Linked DNA regions of Struthio camelus. The protein of the gene in region 2 binds, or shares a complex with, the protein of the main gene of each other region. Links are inferred from orthologs where the notes say so. Each region holds a gene or a part of one and is shown on either strand. Other genes may lie near its edges.

Region 1 (3,741 bases), on a different chromosome or scaffold from region 2:
TATACCGAGTGGTACTAGGCGACCTATCGGTACATTTCAGTATGTGTAAAATTACAGTAAACTATTTGTAGTATTTGCACAACATATAAGAACTAAGAACAATTGCCAAGAAAAACAGATAACTAAAAGACTGCTTTACAAACTACTGAAGCGACCCATTGCAGCAGCATGTAACATCAGCATTACATATCAGAAAATAAATAGGAATATGCTTTCAAGCTTACTGTGCTATGTTTTAAAACATTTATTCTACTTTCCCTTATGCTGGACACTTGCAAAGTATAATGCAAAATATGCTACTGACTAGGTATAATTACTAGGCTAAAGTTAAGGTTCCTCAGGTAACTGATGATCCAATAGGTCACTGCTATGTAATAGGAAGGTCTCGCATCTCTCTTCTCCTCTTTCTCATTCCATCACCAACCCAACAGTTCACATCTTTGTCAGACTTTCCATAAGCTAGCTGAACTCATAAAACAGCAGAAAACTTAAGACTTGAGTGAGTTAAGCTGGTTTATGAAAAGGTCTGATGAGCTGCAGAGATAACGACACAGAAGACAGAAAGCAGGGAAGAGGTGGAGAATTTATATGGCAAGCAGGCTTTTGATAACAGTGAGGTGTACCTTGTGACACAAGTAACAGTTTCAGTATCTTGTGAAATAAGGTCAGTTAGGAACTCCAGTAAGCAGGTTACAGAACAGTGATTACATTACAGTGAACATCTCTTCTAAGCCTAAACTTCTTGCAAATCCTATGCCTTCTCTCCTTCAAAGGGAAATTGAAAAGGAAGGGTGAAAAAAGTTTGAAAAGAAAGTCACACACGTTTACATTGACCACGTTACTAGGTATGTGTGTATTCCTTACGCAAAACAGTCTTTTTTTTATAATCTCCAGCTGTAACTATTAATATTCAAATCACAGAGCATGAAAAAATTACAGCTTTGGCCAAAAAAATGTATTCCAGTAAGTGTGACATTAAAGAGACACTGCTGATGTCATTTGGTAACTGTACCTACGTCACAGGCCATACATGCTAGGCAGAACTACAATTCCATCCTCCTGTGGTGGGCGGCAAATGCAAGATTCTTTCCTGCAAAGAGCCTAACCCAGACTAAGGCAAACGAAGCTGAAATACACGAAGTTGTGAAATAAACTAATTTGCAGTATGATTACTAAGTTGTTCTAAAAGCTTCTTCTATAGTCAAGCTTATCTTAAATGTCCTAGTACACTACATGCTTTGATGCAGGTACTGGAATGTACAGGCACTAAGCATCTTGCCAATGATGCCTTTTAGCGCTTTTACAAGAAGTAAGTTAGTATGGAAAAAATATAGCTTAAACTAGTATTTGTTATCCCTACAGCTAACACATGCACGATTTCAGAAACAGACTCAGGCAGTGGAAGTGAAGGGCACATGGACACGGCTCCAGCTAACTGGCTGACACTGTTCTGGTTGCTGCCCTTCCTTCAACACCAAGTAGTGCTCAAATGCTTCAAAAGAAACCTATGGCAAAACAGCCTCCTTAGTTTTTTTTCCCCACATCCAGAGTGATCCATTCACTAGGGAAAGACTGTAGAAGAAAAAAATACATGTAGTTAATCATTTGAACGTCAGAAAACCGTGCAAGGGAAATATAAACACGTGCTAGTACATCACCACGTACATCTGTTGTTAAATGTTAGCTATTAAAGTTAGCTAACGCTAACTGACTAGAAAGAACAGGACCTCAGAAACACAGACGTTGACAAGAAATACTAAGTCGGCATTCAGAAATATAAGACAGTCATTTTAACGCAACCTAGGGAACAGGCACCCCCGAGTAACGAGGCAAAGGCCTGAACACTGCTCCCAGCAAAACGAGCGCGCCAGGCGCCCAGGCCCTGCTCCTTCCCGCAGCAGCGGCGCGGCCCCGGAGGGGGCGCGGAGCGCCCAAGGCCACCGCTCACCTGCTGGCGGCTCCGCGCCGGCCCCCGCAGCTCCGCTCCGCGCCGCGCCTTGTCTCGTCTCCCCGCGCCGCCGCCGCTCTCGGCTCCCGGCCCTCGGCGTCGCGCTCCGGCGGCCTCGGCGGCGCCCCGCGAACCGCACGCGCGGCCTCCCCGCGCCGCGCCCGTTACTGGCCGCCCGTTACTCGGCGGCCGTTACTGCCCGGCAGCCCCACGCGCCCGCGCGCGAGCGAGCGAGGCGGTTAAACGCCGCCGCGAGGCCAACGGCCGGCAGCGCCGAGCCTGGCGCACGCCGCCGCCGCGCAGCTTCCGGCGCGCGCGCCCCCGCCGCCATGCCGGCCCCGCCCCGCTCCGCTCCCGGCAGCCAACGGCCGCGGAGCCGCCGCCAGCCGGCGGGTGAGGGCCTGCGCGGTGGCCGGCGCTGGGGCGAGGAGCGGCGGAGGTATTTCCTCTCCTCCCTCCTCCTTTTTTCCTTCCTCCTCGGGGCGGAGCGAGGGGAGGGGAGCGGCGGGCCGGGCCGGGCCGGGCCGGGCCGCCCGCCCCGTGTGGGCTGGCCCCGGGAGGAGGGCGCGGCGCGGCCCTACCTGCGTCCTCCCCCCGCCGCCTCCCCCCTTCCGTGCCTCCCCGCGGGCGCTGGCGCAGGAGGCCCGGCACCCGCCGCCTCAGCGGGCCCGGCCTCGCCGCCGCAGCCCGGCCCGTCCCAGCTCCCTCCCGGCTGGAGGCGTCGGCGCTGGCCGACGGGTGTTTTTTTTTTTTTTTAAAATAAAAAGAGCCTGTCCGATTAGGTAGCTTAGAATGTTTCTCGCGGTCGTTTTTGGAGGTTTCGTTCAGGACTGTCAGTTTCCAGGAGCGTTTCTGCGCTGGCAGTATCAAGCTGAAATAGCTTAAGCATTTGATGCAAGTTCTGAAATCCATATCGGCCCCTCTTCCTCCAGCGTGAACTGCAAGGAGCTGGATAGCAGCCGCGTTTAGGTCAACGCTCTGCTTCGGCAACGCTGAGAAGTCTGTTAGCGCGGCCCTAGCCAGGCTGCTCCCGGGGCTGAAGAATGGGATGACTCAGGAAATTGTTCTAGCGATGGCATGAGAAATGTCTTGTATTTTATCTGTCTCCGGTTTGCTGGTGCCTTCCTCTTCATTTGATTTTAAAAAGTGTTTAGCTTTGTATGTTTGGAATTGTGAAATAATTTGCTATGTAATGGTTCTGTTGAGATCCATTTTTGTTTTCCTTTTTTGCTGTAGTTACTCTTCCTTTGATTCCTTTGGCAATATTTTGAAATTAGAATTAATGTTTTGGGATATTTTCCTCTGTTGGAGGAAGAAGTTTTCCTGGCTGGTGAAAGATTGCAATGAAATTCAGTGGTAATTTTGTGAGGGGTGGTTCTTTATTTGGTCTTGGGGTTTGATTCATTAGTGCTTTTATTGTGGAGCAGGTACTTTTTCTGTGTGCTCCCATCAGAAACGTAAAGCACTTTGAGGTATGTTGAATAGGACAGGGAAATGAGTGTCTCTACAGCTGTTGAGGTTGGCCTTTCTACATACATAGCACATTAAATAGAGTATGTGTATTTCAAGTCTTTTTCAACTGATGAAGGTGACTGTTAAAACTGGTAGAGTAATGCAATACATTGAACAATGTTAAGTAGTTTCAGTGGATAGTGGTACTTGTATAATGATTTGCCTCATGGCATTCTAGGTTTCTTTAGTCCTAGTAATATGTTCTTATGTTTAAATTACAGGGCTTGAATGTGTGAAAATTAATGTATGCTCTGTATCTTAATTTCAGTAATAATTTTTTA
Region 2 (3,741 bases):
TGCCAGGCATCCTCTCCCAACTCTAGTTCTTTAATCTTCTGATAAAGAAAAGGAAACATGAAGCAAAGATTGTCTGAGGGGAAAAAAATTTGCAGGCCTTTATGCAGATCTTTACTTAGAAAAGTCATTAGAAAAAACACCAGGGCTTTTAAGTGTTAGACTTAACTCAGTGGGTTAACGCTGCCTTTAAAATCTTCATTGAATTCACAAGGGAATCATGTTATGACAGCGTTGAATTACATGATACAGTCTTTATTCCCTGCCTCAGTGATCTACGTCTTTGTTTTGACCTCTAAAATCCTTTGAAAACCCTGTGCTACTCAGACATGTTTCCAATCACGCATACCACCATCGCACAGATGCAAAAATTCCTCATGCATCTCTCAAGATGATACTGTATGTAGCTCTTGTTCCCAACCTGAGTGGCATTTTGCTCCATCAAGCATGAGAGGGCAGAACATACAACTCAGGTGAGCAAAGAAAGGATCCCACATATATTAGATACGGCGATGCCTGCAAACAAAATTTCACTCCACTTCAGGAAGGGTAGGAACGCGAACGGCTTTCATTTTCTGTGCCACCTAATACGGTGTAGAAGTAGTTCAAACATTCAGAACTACAGACTCGAGAAGCAGGCTATCAGGGTAAATCACACTTCCATATAAATGGGGACAGCACCAAAGAATAGTCTCCTACACAAAGCAGCTTCCTGCCACCTGTAGAGTACAGCAATCAAAGCTGTGGAGCATGCAAGGGAAGGTAGGTGAAGGGAGGAGAAAAAAATTTGTAAACAAAAAACGTCACAGCATGTTACAATTTGTTTTCCTGCCATTTTCCAAACGGAAAATACATATACATACTGTATAAAGTCAATAAAGATTTTACAGATAATAAAACTGTGGGTTAGGAAGCTAAAGATTCCTACTCTCCCACAGAAAATCAGTCTGAGCTAAGATCGGAACTCAAGAAATTCTGACTCCTGGTATCGTCATGGGAAGATTTTAGAAATCCAGAAGCACACAGCGAGGAAGGGGCGACTTTCATCAACTCTAGCGTTAAAATCTTTTTTGTCGGTTAAGTTTAGGAGTCTGGACTTAGCATCCTAAATCTTTACTCTCTTGCGCTTCTGTACAAACAGGCATATTCACTCTCTGATGCATTGATGTTTATAATGTTCCAGAAAGAAAAACAGTGGAATTTCCATACTGCCAAGGGCTCTTCCTTATGAAATGATAAGAGTCCCAAGCAGCATGAAGAACCCTCTGCAGAACCGGACCATAACCTGCAAAAGCAGTGTTTGATGTACATACCTGCCTCTCGCAATAAGCCTTCATCAGCTTGCTTAAAGGTGTGTGCCTTTTTATTTTGAACTGGACCACAGAACCATCCTGGCCAGCAACTTTTAAATTGATGTGATCATTCTCTGTTTTCACTCCTTCCTGAACAAAAACAGACAAAAAGGCAGAACACAGTGAGCACTGCTTTGAATAAAAGTGATCTAAAGGCTCCATTACAAACAGTAACAAAGCTCTCAACCACCAGAAGCTTTTCTTCCTGTTTATAAAGGGAGGATGCTCTCCACAGCACACAGAGGGGGGGGGGGTTAAAAAAAAAAAAAAACCTGCACGGTTTTGCAGTCATCATTTCAGGTAATAGGGGAAAAGCAAAAAACTTCACGGAGCAAATCCCAGCACACCTACATACCTCTGTAGGTAACAGAGGTCATTTCTGTTACCTGGATGCCCCCTGAAAATGAACTGCAGAGACATGCAGCCGTACAAACTCCACTCACGTTCCCTTCACTTTTTCCCTGTTTACGAACTCTGCACGCTCCTAGCATTGCACAGATAAGAACGACCGTACTACCGAACAATTTTCCTCAGGAAAGCCCCCGATTTTGCAGTTTCCACTCAGCGGCGAAGTTCAAGGGACTTCCGCAGGACCCCACTTCCCCGCCCCCTCCCCCCGCTCAGCCCTCCATCTTGGCCCCCTCACGCCACCCCGGGTGTACGCGTGGGGGGACCGGTCACGGGGGCGGGGCGGGGCAGCGTCGCCCTCACCGGGACACCCTGCCCCGCCATCCTGGCAGCCCCCGCCGAAGAAGGCCTCCCCCCTCCGGCCGCCTCAGGCCTCGCCCGGCCGCGGCCCACCGGGACAGCGGAGGGGAAGCCAGGTCCGCCGCGCCTCACCTTGGGCTTCTCCTCCGACATGGCGGCGGGGACGGGACGGGACGGGACGGGACGGGACGGGGGGAAGGGAAGGGAGGGGAAGGCGGCGCGCGCGCGCCCGCGCGCTGAGGGGAACGGCCCGCGCGCTCGGCTCCCGCCGGCCGCCGCCGCCAACCGCCCGCGAGAGCGCGCGCACGCGCGCGCGCGCCCCACCTCACCCCCCCCCCACCCCCCGCCGCCGCCGCCGCCAGCAGCCCCGGGCGCCGATTGGCCGCCGCGCGGGGTCACGTGGGAGGCGATGGGCGCGCGCGCGCGCGCGCGCCGGGAGGACGCTGCCCCCTCGGCGGGCGGGGAGGGGGGAAGGCGGCGGCGCGCGCGCGCGCCCGGCCCGAGGCGGCTCTGGAAAGTGCGTCACGGGGCGCCGGAAGGGCGGGGCGGGCGCGGCTGGGCCGGTCGCGCCTCGGGGCCGCGCTGAGGCGGCGGAGGGGGGGGGGGGGGCGCCCCGCGGTGCCACACAGACGCGGTTTTGGAGTGGGCCGGAGCTCAGCCCCAGGCTTTGGGGGGGGGGGGGATCCCGCCTTGTGCCCTGCCCGCCCCGGAGGGCCGCAGGGCGGGCGGGTTCCCCCAGGGTCAGCGGGGATGGAAGGAGGAAGAGCATGCCCCGGCCCCGCAGCGGTTGTGTGCGCGGAGAAGGACCCTTTCCAGCCTCTCGGGCGGTGCCTGCTGTCCACAGCCCAGGTGACACGGAGCGGGGGGGAAGCGGCGCTGTTGGCCGGCCCCGCGCGTCACTGCTCACAGAGCTGGAGTTCACCTGCAGCCCAGATTTTATCTGGGTATTTTAATTACTTTCAGGAAGTCGGTTGTCCCTTCCAGTACCCACCTCTCCTATGAAAGAGCGCCCATCCCTTCCAGGGCAGCCCTTTGTTTGCCGGCCGCAGCTGCCCGCTCTGCCCTGCCCTGCCCCTCAGCCCGGCACCAGCTCCATCCTGCGCGTTTCCTGATGCGGGGCAGTCCTGTAGGCAGCAGTTGCACCACTGCACAGGTATGACCATCCCCTGGCTCAGAGCCAAGTTGCCCTTTGCACCCTTTTAATCTGTTCCTCCTCTGTTTCCCCCCCGCCCCCCCAACGCGTTCCCCAAGCGCACGTCATCCTTGGCCAGGCAGGCTGCGCTCAGCGAAGCGAGCTCTCACTCATCAGATACGCCGCTCACCAAACTGCTTTCCCCCTCTGCGCTGATGTCCCCCCCCAGCCCCAGAGCACGGCAAGCCCCACCAGCATGCAGAGGCCTCTCTGCAGGGACTCATTAATCCTCATGAAGGCTCCTTCCCAGACAGCTGGCTCCACTCTGCAGCCTCAACTTTGCATTCCCTATTTGTAAAGCACCACATTTAGGAGACGTTTTTTCCCCAGACAAACAGATCCCATTCTGCTAGTTCCCTCTCCTTTACAGAGGCAAAGGGGACCAAGAGGGGTGTTTTGTCTTCCAGTGGCTTTGAAGCCAAGAAGAGGGTTTTGGTTTTGCTTAGGAGCGCAAACTGACTGAAGCCTGCCCCGATCCCCTCCCCACATCCA
Region 3 (3,741 bases), on a different chromosome or scaffold from region 2:
CAGCTTGGACTTTTTGCAGCCCATGGCGGGGGAAAATGTGGAGTTTCTGGGGAGAGAGGGGAACTGAGGCACGGAGGCTGCAACACCGGCGGTCGCCGGAGGGGTTGGCCAAGGTGTTTTGGGGACCTGGATGGGCACGGCCCTAGGGCAGGGAACAGCACCATGGCCTCGGGCTATAGGGGTCTTAGCAGCCCCCAGGGCAGAGGACAGCACTTTCCCCTTCGCCCTGTCCCATCCTCCCTCCCTTTCCCTTTTCCTTTTGTTCTCTTCCTCCTTTCCTTTTTGCTTATCCCTTTCCTTTTTGCTTTTTCTTGCCTTTTCCCCTCCTTTCCTTTCCTTTTTCCCTTCCTTTCCTTTTTCCCCTTTCTTTTCCCCTTTTTCCCCTTTCCTTTCCCTTCCTTGGTGCCTGTTGGTACCAGGCTGCTCTCACCGCTGGGACCAGTCCCATGTCCCTCCTGGTCCGAGTCCACACTGACCTGGCGGCTCCCGTCCTTTCTGGGCGAAGGGGAAGAAGGTGAGGAAGAGGAAGACGGCGGCACAGGTGAGCGAGGCCGACAGGAGGAGCTTGGAGGCCTCCAGGGAGAGCTCCGGGAAAACCCCCATGGCTGCCCCGAGGCATCACGGGACCAGCCGTATGGGGACAGCTGGAATGGGATCGGCTGTAACAGGATCAGCTGTGCAGGGACCGGCTGTAATGGGATAGGCTGTGCAGGGACCGGCTGTAATGGGATCAGTTGTAACAGGACTGGCTGTACAGGGACCACATTATAATGGGACCGGCTTCACGGAGACCCTGCAGATGGGGCTCCAGGGGTGGCACTGGCCCACAGTGTGACACCCCAGCGGGGTGTCCCCTCCATAGGGTGTCCTCTCCATAGGGTGACACCTCAGAGTGAACCCCCCCTCCCATGGGGTGACACGGCCATGTAGGGTGACACTCCCCAAGGCAATCCCCACACATTGGGAGCCCTCCATAGGGTGCCCCCCATAAGGTGACACCCTCATGGGCCCCCCCATATGGGCCCCCCCCATAGAATCACTCCCCGCATAGGGTGCCCTCATAAGGCGATTCCCCCCCCCGACTGCCCCCCATAGGGTGCTCCCCCATAGATTAACACCCCCCATACGGTGACATCCCCCCATAGTAACCCCCCTATAGAGTAACTCCCCCCATAGCGTGATTCCCCCCCCCCCGGATTGCCCCCCTGTTAGGGTGCCCCCCATAAGACGACACCCCTGGGACATCCGCGCCGCCAGGGGGCGGCCTCCGCCCCTCTCCGGGCTGCGCATGCGCGGGCCCCTCCCCCGCCGGCCGGGCCCCCGTCCTCCCCGTGACGTCACTTCCGGCGCCGTCGCGCTCAGCGCCGACTTCCGCTTCCGCCTGCCTCGTTGCCGGGAGCTGCCGGAGGCGCCCGGGAAACTCGCGCGCGCGCGCGCGCGGCCTCGCGCCGGTTCCGCTGCCGGTGAGCGCCCCCCTCCCCCTCCGCCGCCGCCCCCGCCGCGCTCCGGGGAGCCCCGGACCGCCCCCCGCCCCGCGGCAGGGCAGCAGTGGCGGGTTACCGGCCCTGCGGCCCCCGCCGCCGCCGAGCTCTTCGTCGCCCCCGGTGGGGAGCCGTGCACCCGGCTGCTCCGTGGGCGCCGCAGCGCGGCGGGGACGTTGTCCGGCGGCGGCCGGGTTGGGGGGCCGCGGCGTGGCCGGGAGCGGGACAGGCCCCTCGCCCGGGCGCTCCGCTCGCTGCCTTTGCGTAAAAAAAAAAGCCACTAGGCCCCTTTTTCTCTATTATATCATTTCGACTAATAAGAGGCCTCCTGCTCCTCCCTCCTGGCTGTGCCCCACGGGTTCCCCCGGTCCGTCGTGGCCACGGGGGTGTTTTTTTGCACGGTGCTGTCGGTATAACCCTTGTGTTCTTGCAGATCTCCGCGGGTGAGCCGTGCCGGTCAGGGATGTGAGCTGCCTGGAGATGGGTAGGTGCATGTGTTTCTGCTATGCCGGAGCGAAGGGTTTGGGCTGCACTGGCACTTACGTGGTCTCTGGTCCCACTTTCTCCTGCTCGTGTAACTTCTCTTGATGCCTCACGTCATTTCTTGCGATTACAGAAAAATATTTGGAGCTTAGAGGCAATGCTAAGGTGCAGATGTTATTTAAGGAGCTGACTGGAGGCTTGCAGGACTGATGAAAGGGACTGTCGTTTTTATTGATTTTTTTTTTTTTTTGTGATATTCATCTTTCCTTTAAAAAAAGGAAAAGTGAAGCCTTCTAACCCAGCCTGCAGCTGCTCTAATCTAAGCAGAACAAACCTCTCTGAGTGCAACTGAGCAGAAACTTCTGCTCTTGAGTCTTCTGGGGATTCATGGGGGCTCTTTCCTCAGATGAAATTGCTGACCCGGTGAGGATGGAAGCCAGAGATGCGGCGTTGACTAACCACAGTTCCATGTTCAAAGCTTTCCCTCCGCAATCAAGAGCGAGCCTGCGGGATCAGCTTTTGCAGTCGGACAGCAAGGTTTGCGACCTGTTTATTCCTTCCTGGCAGAGCCGTCCTTTGTCCGTGCTGTTGCTTCTTTTCACTCGAAATGATCTCTGCTCGGCCCTTTCTCTGAAGGTGATGTGCTTGGGCAGCTGGTCTTTTGGGCTGATTACTTCTCTTGTTGCTTCCGTCTCTATCTTTCAGTATCAGTCTTCCTCCTGGGGTGGAAGCCACTGTGGGCAGGGCCTTTCTCTGCAGCATCCAGCTGTTATCACAGGATAAGATACCAGTGCACGTTAACCTTTGAATGCAACCTGCTGGGTGTTTCAAAGAGTGACTCTCTATTATACAGTAGTGCTGATTGCCTGCTGTCGATAATGCCAAATACTTCCTGAACAGAGCCACTGCTTTAGGAGCCACATTGTGCTTTTAGTTACTGATAAGCTTATAAAGCCGAAATTGCTTGTGAAATCTGCACACGAGCCCTTGTGTGTGCACGTGAATCCTGTGGAAAGTAAAATACACAGGTTTGCTTGTTTTATGGAGTCTGCAAGCATGTGCATGTATCACATAGTCATGTCTCAACGCGTCGACTAGGAGACAGTACCAGCATAGCTATGAAACTGTTTTTTTGCCCTATACCAAGATGAAAACAACATTTGTTTTTCTCTTTTCATTAAAATTGAAATTCCACCTGGCAGAGTGGATTTTAGACTTATTGGGGAGTGAGTGACACCTTCGTGACAATGTGCTGCATTGTCAGGCCAGGACTGGTATATTATTACACCGTTCTACTCTTTCAGTAGTTCCTAATTTATAATTATGTGGTCAGGGAGGGAGAGGAGCTGTAACTTGTCACGTGCCTTTATAGTTCTGTTGCGAGTGAGGTTTAAAGTTGAGAGCTATACTTCTTTTTTAATAAAAGGTTACAATCTCTTTGCCTAGTTCTTACCAAACAAGATTGGCAATTTCACTTGTCCTGCTGGAAATGCATCATGCACCCTCAATTACAGCCCAGGTAAGACATAGTTTTCTGCCCTGGATATAGATGTTTGTTTTTCCTGTTGTTCCCTCCAGCGGAAGATGTGGCTCTGTCTTGACTGTTACTGTGCTTCTCCCCGGCAGAAGTTCCATGTCCTGAGACCTTCCAGGCACCAGGAGAACCTCGAGCATTTGGCTCAAGCGCGAATGGGCAGTGGAGGGGTCTGGTTCCCACTCTAGGTTCTGTGTTGCAGAAGCCTCGAGTGAGTCGAGGCTCTTATCTCGAATCACGCAA

What was found. The genes of interacting proteins can lie anywhere in the genome.
Region 1: the proteins of SUMO3 (region 2) and USPL1 are in contact, whole or in part, in a crystal structure (PDB 7ZJU), measured with the Homo sapiens proteins. The link is inferred for Struthio camelus from reciprocal best matches to the Homo sapiens genes SUMO3 and USPL1. Residues at the interface, in NP_008867.2 of Homo sapiens: Gln24, Asp25, Gly26, Ser27, Val28, Arg58, Arg60, Gly63, Gln64, Pro65, Ile66, Asn67, Asp70, Leu75, Phe86, Gln87, Gln89, Thr90, Gly91; in NP_005791.3 of Homo sapiens: Ala234, Cys236, Trp237, Pro321, Gln322, Leu323, Arg324, Met330, Glu331, Ser332, Val334, Phe335, Leu339, Tyr368, Thr378, Thr380, His393, Phe394, Gly395, Pro396, Asn398, Arg407, His421, Val423, Tyr451, Asn454, Asn455, His456, Phe457, His493.
Region 3: the proteins of SUMO3 (region 2) and SENP1 are in contact, whole or in part, in a crystal structure (PDB 6NNQ), measured with the Homo sapiens proteins. The link is inferred for Struthio camelus from reciprocal best matches to the Homo sapiens genes SUMO3 and SENP1. Residues at the interface, in NP_008867.2 of Homo sapiens: Gln24, Ser53, Arg55, Gln56, Arg58, Arg60, Asp62, Gly63, Pro65, Asn67, Thr69, Asp70, Gln74, Glu76, Asp84, Phe86, Gln87, Gln88, Gln89, Thr90, Gly91, Gly92; in NP_001254523.1 of Homo sapiens: Gln440, Asp441, Glu446, Arg449, Leu450, Thr451, Lys455, Trp465, Leu466, Asn467, Asp468, Glu469, Asn494, Thr495, Phe496, Lys500, Arg511, Trp512, Lys514, Lys515, His529, Gly531, Val532, His533, Trp534, Gln597, Gly600, Ser601, Asp602, Cys603.

The regions. Positions count from the first base shown.
Region 1 is NC_090942.1:199,403,933-199,407,673, forward strand, and holds the start of USPL1 (SUMO-specific isopeptidase USPL1), read right to left. Parts: upstream 2,181-3,741; 5' UTR 1,949-2,180; intron 1-1,948. UniProt on the Homo sapiens protein: SUMO-specific isopeptidase involved in protein desumoylation. Specifically binds SUMO proteins with a higher affinity for SUMO2 and SUMO3 which it cleaves more efficiently. Also able to process full-length SUMO proteins to their mature forms.
Region 2 is NC_090950.1:3,429,162-3,432,902, forward strand, and holds the start of SUMO3 (small ubiquitin-related modifier 3), read right to left. Parts: upstream 2,384-3,741; 5' UTR 2,211-2,383; coding exon 2,190-2,210; intron 1,440-2,189; coding exon 1,311-1,439; intron 1-1,310. UniProt on the Homo sapiens protein: Ubiquitin-like protein which can be covalently attached to target lysines either as a monomer or as a lysine-linked polymer. Does not seem to be involved in protein degradation and may function as an antagonist of ubiquitin in the degradation process.
Region 3 is NC_090969.1:3,526,459-3,530,199, reverse strand, and holds the start of SENP1 (sentrin-specific protease 1), read left to right. Parts: upstream 1-1,339; 5' UTR 1,340-1,463; intron 1,464-1,914; 5' UTR 1,915-1,961; coding exon 1,962-1,965; intron 1,966-2,370; coding exon 2,371-2,501; intron 2,502-3,410; coding exon 3,411-3,483; intron 3,484-3,590; coding exon 3,591-3,741. Other genes in the region: PFKM (ATP-dependent 6-phosphofructokinase, muscle type), read right to left, coding at 477-603. UniProt on the Homo sapiens protein: Protease that catalyzes two essential functions in the SUMO pathway.